Arabidopsis thaliana: one gene and its partner. The protein of the gene in region 2 purifies or fractionates together with the protein of the main gene of each other region. This does not show direct contact. Each region holds a gene or a part of one and is shown on either strand. Other genes may lie near its edges.

Region 1 (3,713 bases), on a different chromosome or scaffold from region 2:
TAAAAAAATAGTTTATCTATTATTTATTAAATTTATCAATTGTTATGGGTTAGAACTGTTTATTAAATTTCAGATGTGGGACTCAGTTTCATTTAAAACGTATTGGGCTTTTAAAATGGCGGCGAGAAGATATGATTATCGGCCATGTCGTAAGCCCAATATGTTATTCCAAATGGAATTTAACTTCTTAAATAAAATTTCAAAACAGTAATAGAAAATCATACCATAGGTATACAATTATCATATGTTGTTACAAAAACCAATTGACGTCCAAGAATATACTACCATATATTATTAATAGAATTCGTAACAAAAAAAAAAAAAAAATCACATTCTTTAAGAAGTGAGTGTTCCCATATTTCTCTACCAAGAGACGATTTGATTTTGACCCTACAAAAAGTATAGTAGATACAATGTGGACAATAAATCATATAAATATCAAAGAGTTAGTTCTCAATGAATACAGACGTGGCGTCATTTTTGGCCCAAGGGATTATTACTTGGTCCACTCAAATTTCTATTCCGCTTATTAATACCGACACCTATATGCATTCAATCAATTTTCATGTCCTAGTCTTCTCATTGATTGGTTTCACATTTACATAACCTGTGATTAATCTACTAAAGCAAATGATTCAACTAACCTGTGATTAATCTACTAAATCATTCACTAATCATGAGTTAAAATTCGCAAAATAACTAAAAAGGTTTTATTTTATTGAATCATATTTCATTAACGCCACATTACACTCACAAGAACAACGAGAATACAAACAATACAGACAAGTCTCACGAATCACAACACATCACTTAAACGACCCAAGAAAGCTTTTTCCGAATCTCAGACCCGACCCGACTAACACTATCCCTAAGCTTGACCGGACAATTGTTCCGTACGGCGGTGAGCTCATAAGGAGAAGTATCAGTAGCGAGCCATTGCTCAATCTCAAAATCCTGCGTCGAGCACTGTGCGTGAACACCAGCCGTCGTGATCTCAACGTAATTAACGTACCAACCATGGTGATCGCCGGAGCCATCGGAGGTTAGGTTTAAGGCACAGATCGGACTAGGTAAACACGGTGCTCTTCCACTGAAAATGTCGAGATTACCCCTCTCGAAGTAATTGTAATCAGGTCCCATTAATCCAGCCCAAGCTTGAAGGTTTTTGATTCCGATGTAGTCACCGTCCTTATCGTAGATTCTTGCGCTGATGATCGAATCGGTTCCGGCTTTCCAGATCGATCCGGTTCTGAGGTAGAATGTGTATACACAGTCTGGATCATCTTCCTAGATAAACAAACAGAAACTGAAAAAGTCAAATTATCGAAAAATCTAAATCTGATCGAGAGTGGTTAGAGATTGAGGAAGTTTACGGCGAAAGCTACGGCGGAGACGGTGGCGAGAAGGAGGAGGAAAGGGAGGAGAACATCGCGACGAGCCATTTTGTTTTTTTCCGGTGAACGATTTGTATTTTTTCTCTGATTTTTTTTCTGCAGAGGTGTATTAATAGATGCGAATATTATTTGAGGGAAGGGTTATTATTGGGAATTAACAATTGGGGTAATAATCACGTGTTATTCGGAGTAGCGTGTAATGTTGACGTGGCTGACTCTTATCTGTTGTGATGTGAGAATTGAGATGGATAATTTGAGAGGCTTGGCGATTACTCGGCGAGTCGGTATATGATGGGTTGGTAGATTTACGAAATTATCCTTTTAAGTCTCTCTCTCTCTGGCAGCTTACGGACCAAGAAAAATAGTCCACTGGATTGTATGAAATTTTCCTTATTAATGACTACGAAATTTTTGATGGTTTTGTCTATATTAAGAATAATTCAAATTTATATTGAGAATAAGTAATTCTTCCCATTTTTATTTGCTTATATATTTGCTGTCAGATTTTTATTATTTTATGGCCAGGTATAATTTATATTTGTAAAAACAAATTGTTACTTCTTCTCAGCATTTTCATTTTTAGACATCTTCTTCTCAAAAGTGTGTGGGCTTATAAATAACAAATACTAATTATATGGAGCCTTGGTATAGGTAAATATTGGGCATAAAGCGTAAGCCCATTGTTGCACAAAAAAGAAGAAGCGTAAGCCCATTTATATATTTATCTTGTTATAACAAAATGCACACGTAGCAAAAAAACTACATGCTGGAAATTTGATCAAACCCATAGCTTACTAAATTATAGAGAGTGATGATTCTTTAGTTTTTGATATCCTTGTGATCTTCAATACTAAAACTATGTAGACTTACATTATTTTGGTTAATTATATGATGATCATTGATCACCCGTAAAAAATTTTACTAACACGGCAATTTTTTTTTTATCAAACACTAACAAAACATTTAATAGTGATAATAGTTAATCGAATGTAGTGGTTGGTTTTACTAAATGTTTCTTTTTCTTATTTGCAATGCAATGATAATCAATTTCATACGAATTTACAAGTCAACTGAAATTTTGATATTTAGAAAAAAAACGAAAAAAACACAATTATAAATGAGTGTGGGTAACCAAACAAAACTAAGCCGTATGGGTAAAGTGATAATAGGGTTATGGCATTTTGGTTAATGGGCCCATAAATTTTGAATTTTCCTTGATAATTAATAGTATATTATATGATTGATTCTTATTTTCCGACCAAACCTAGTATCTCTATCAAAATATACACTCAAACCATTAATTTCCACTTGCAAATTAATCGGGTGAAATAAGTAGAAATGAGTATGTACATATCTTTGTTGCATCTTTTAAATTGGTGATTTCGAAATTATTCAATTGAAAAGAAAGATTAATCAGCTAAAAAACTTATCTTGGTGGAACTAGCTATATGATGACATCTAATAATTATGATATATATTATTGAATTTGGTCCGAATTAACTGACCTAATTATGTCATCATGTAAGAGATTAGTAGATTATTCAAATTATTCTATATCTTTAGAGAATAACGAGAGGAAGTTAAATGATTGTTTGTGCACACGGAAAATTAAAACTTGTTCTAACATTTTTATCGCATAATTGATTTTGATATGAATATACGCACAAATCACGAAGAAAAGTAAGTACCATTTATCAGGAAAAGTAAAAGTAATACCATCATAAGATTTGTAAACGTAACATCCTGCAGTGGTAGAGAAACAAAACAAAGCATTAGCCGAACCAAATATCTACAATCAAAGTGAATTTTGACTATCACCAAAAGGAATAAATCTAATATAAACTAAACCTTAGATACATGTATATAATATTGGGATATAGAGTAGACAATAGTGGATGGTGGTAGTGGAACCACTTAATGCGATTTCACCTTCCCTGTTTTTCTCCCTTTCACACAAAAACAAAACAAAATTATTAAAAAATCATGTCACACCAAATGTCTTATTTACCATGATACCCTATCTCATAAACTCCTTAAACAAACAATAGCTCCCTAAACTCAAGTATCCATTCTCACCTCTAAATCAATTTCTTACGTTTTCTCTCGTCAAAGTCTTTTTTTCTTTGTCACGAGATGGAGTCCGGTAATAGTAGTAGCATGCAATCTTCAAGCGGCGGTGGCGGAGGAGGAGAAGAAGAATACGATTCACGCGCCGCAGATCAATCCATTTCCGCCTTCTTCGACCACCACAACAACCACGTGTCATCTATACCCACGCCGCAACAAAACCATCGCAACCTCCTCCATTTCGACCATAAC
Region 2 (3,758 bases):
TTGCAATTATTGGCTTGGACGGAAGGTAGCTAATCTCTCTGAATGTATATTCACATCATCCACAAGTATTATATGCTTCCATCACACTAGTCAGAATAGCAAAAACATAAAATAACCAACAACCACACATATGATTTATCGGCCTTACAGTTTCTACAGGTGCAATTTCGATCCAGTGAACGGAGGAGAGATGACTCAGCTTGAACATTTCCATTTTCTGAAGCAAGATAGCCCGAGATAGTCAGACCACGTGCTTGGTTTGAGTTTTATGTACATAACAATTGGCTCTGTATATAGATTTGGTGAAACCGCATACGATTTTATTCTTCCAAGCTTTACTTGATTGAAGGAAAATGTATTCTTGATTGGAACAATGTATATACAAAAAGGATTTTTTTTTGGTTATAACACTAATTTCTACAGAGAATCAAACTGCAATTCGATTACGTTTATTAAAATTTCAAATCAGAATGTTGATTATAGGACAGATATAACAAATGCAAGATGGTTCAGCTTACATGGTCATTTCAAGGTTACAGAACCGGATTTCTCCATTTAATTTAAAGACTTATACATTTAATTATTAATATTTAGTAACTTTAATTTTATAGAGACAATATAGAAAATTATGCAATGGAGATGCTTTAAAAGTATTAGGTGCCAGAGTTAAAAAAAAAAAAAAAGTATTAGGTGCCTTGTCGTCACCAGATTCCATTGGATTTTACGACTTTTTGTTAAACTCACAAGTCGCTAGCTTGTGGTTTAAGCAATCTTTTTTTTTTTATATAAAATTTACATATATTAAAAATTTTATGTGGTTTTTTTTTACATAATAGTTAATGATGCATTAAATTTAAGCAATTTTAATGATGCATTGATTTTATTAATTCCCCTTGCTCAAAATACTTTCTATGGTGTGATTAACACAAATTATATTATTATTCTTTTAGAAATTTTTGCTTGTAAATGCTAGTTTTGATTGCATTATTATTCTTTTTTCTTTTACGTCATTTACGAGAATTTTCAATTTTGTTTTATCAAAAATTTCTAATTGAATATTTGATGTTGCACATAAACTGACCGTGATACATGTGCTTGTTCTGTATATAGATTTGTTGAAATAACACTAGAGTATGCTACCAATGTTACGGATCACGGTCTCCAAGCAATTGGTAAAGGATGCAAAGAATTAAAACATCTTGAAATACTAAACTGTCCTGTTAGTAAAACAGGTCTTATAGAAGCAGGCGAGAGCTCTTCTTCCATTAGATATCTTTACGCATCAGGTAATAAAGATGGAAAGGAAGGAGGAGTGCAATCTTTTGCACAAAATAATGATAATATATTTTCTTTTCATTTGTTGTTAAGATTCTCCGAGATCTTCTCGAGATCTTTTTTGGAAATACGATAAGATAGGCTGAATAATTCTTATTCTGAAATTTTTTGGTAATGCGAAACCTTTGTTTTATATGTTCAAGAAGAAAAGAAATATTAAGAATTTTTTTTTTGTTCAGTCACACAACTTTAGAACAAAATTATGTTAATAATTTTCTTCATTTTAAATCCAAAACTTCAAAAGTTAGAAAACATATGAAGTAAAATAAAATAAAATGTGCTAAGCTATAAATTGATTTTAGTTTACATAACAAATTCTAATTGAAACTTATTTTTTTATATCGTCAAAAAACAACAACTAAATTCTGAAAAAATATCAAAAACTCCAATTTGGAAAGTATAAATTACAAACTAACTTGTTTTATTTTATGTTTTAATATAATAGTTTAGTTGGTTTAATAATAGTAAGTGTTATTTTATTATTTTTTAAAAGGGAAGGGTTTAAAAACCCACCAAAAAATCCCTTAAATGGATGCTTAAAAATCTCTGGTCGCGGGCTTAGCCCCAGTAGACTAGTTAGATCACTGTGTGGTCTGGGCATTGAGTTATCAAAGAAAAAAAGGGAAGGGTTTAAAAACCCACCAAAAAAGTTGAGGGTTTTGTACATGTTTTTTGTAAAAGGTGAGGGTTTTTTTTACCCACTTTTCATAGAGCTGAGGAACTTGATAAGATATCAAACAACAAGAGTCTCCAACTCAAGCAGAGACTTCAATCTCTCACAACAACACTGCAGCTGTTTCAGGCCCAAAAGGAGACACGAAGCCCATCTCTCATTCATCGGAACTCTGCAATACTCAAAACAGAGAACCATCACGCGAGCCGCTTCAGCTACCATCGCTCGCCGCCAACTCTTGTTGTTGTTTGATATCACTTTCTCTTCTTCAAGCAGTTGCTACTACTTTCAGAAGAAAGCTGAGAAGAAGCTTAACAGACGGAGAAGATTCGACACTAAGTACGAGGATGCTGCTGATCTGCTCGAGAAAGCACGTGATTCCTATAAGCTTGCCAAATCATGTAATTTCCATAAATAATAATCAGCCGGCCTTGATTTTTGTTTCATCTGATTGATTTGTGATGATGATGAGGAAGAAAAGGTGAAACTTGAGACTTTTGATTGATCTTTGGTTTAGCAATTGTGGTGATCCTTCCATGGTGTTGTGAGAAGTTGATTTTAGGCCTCTTTGATATGTGGGAATTATAAATTGGATACTCAACATTTAGATTACTCGATAATGATGGTTTTTGGCCTTATAGTAAAGTCATTGATAAGTATCTTCTTGCTTATGTGTTTGATTTGTGATTCTTCAGGGGATCAAGCTGGAATAGCTTATCTAAAACTTGCCGATTGTCACTTAAAGGCAAATTCTTTGGCAAACACATATATGATAATGGACGAATGTATGGATCATGTAGCAACAGCTTTTTAGATTTTAATTGACATATATGTACTACAGGACTGATTATCAACTCTTGTGTGTTTTCCTTTCGCTATGCATGTTTATCGCGTCCAAATATAACCATGACCTTATTATATGCAGAGGCTGCATCTTGTCTAGAGAGAGCGGCGAATATATTTTGTGAGATAGATAGTAAGGCTCAACATGGCTGCAAGATATTACAATGTACTACATGTCTCTTTTGAGTATGAATTAGATACTGTTACTCTTTTAGTACGGATAGTGAGAAGATAGTTTTATTGAGGGGGAGGCACTTCTTCAGCATCTTCTCCATGGTTCGTGTTGTTTATGCATGTTGGATCCTGTCGGATTTGTTTCTTTTTTTCTACAGTATATATAGTAAGCTTGGTACTGACTTTCTGTATTTGTACTAATGTGTACATTGTCATTTACTTTTGACAGGAAATTGCTGAGTATTATGAATCTGATGAGATGTTCGAGCAAGCTATTGCTTACTATGAAACGGCAGCTGAATTCTTTCAAATAGAAGAAGTGACCACCTCTGCAAACCAGTGCAATCTAAAGGTTGCACAATATGCTTCCCAGCTAGAGCAGTAAGATTTTCGGCACCTGACCTTTTTTTGGCTTTCTCATCCTCTGGTATTGACGTACTTACAGTACTGAGATGGGACCATGTTAAAATCGAATTTTCAAACCACAAATTTGACATTGTTTGGAATAATGTTGTTGTTCTCTACACATGAGCACATGGATTATAGCCCCTTCTCTACTTTGGGGCGGATTGATTGATTGATAATAGGCTTGCTGTTGTATCTTTGATAGGTATGAGAAGGCAATCCAGATTTATGAAGACACAGGCACGCCATTCACTCAACAATAAGTTGCTTAAGTATGGAGTTAAAGGCCATCTTCTCACTGCTGGCATGTGCCACTTATGCAAAGCTG

The links. Proteins that work in one complex are often made in the same cells at the same time.
Region 1: the proteins of ALPHA-SNAP1 (region 2) and PLAT1 fractionate together in Arabidopsis thaliana (co-fractionation; one large-scale study listed by BioGRID). This does not show direct contact.

What each region holds. Positions count from the first base shown.
Region 1 is NC_003075.7:18,430,679-18,434,391, reverse strand, and holds PLAT1 (Lipase/lipooxygenase, PLAT/LH2 family protein), read right to left. Parts: upstream 1,734-3,713; 5' UTR 1,443-1,733; coding exon 1,374-1,442; intron 1,288-1,373; coding exon 811-1,287; 3' UTR 639-810; downstream 1-638. Other genes in the region: AT4G39720 (VQ motif-containing protein), read left to right, coding at 3,528-3,713. UniProt on the Arabidopsis thaliana protein: Positive regulator of abiotic stress tolerance involved in the regulation of plant growth. May be a downstream target of the abscisic acid (ABA) signaling pathway.
Region 2 is NC_003074.8:20,928,557-20,932,314, forward strand, and holds the start of ALPHA-SNAP1 (alpha-soluble NSF attachment protein 1), read left to right. Parts: upstream 1-2,000; coding exon 2,001-2,409; intron 2,410-2,703; coding exon 2,704-2,804; intron 2,805-3,254; coding exon 3,255-3,406; intron 3,407-3,427; exon of another isoform or gene 3,428-3,645; coding exon 3,646-3,758. Other genes in the region: ATG18D (autophagy 18 D-like protein), read left to right, coding at 1-25, 151-241.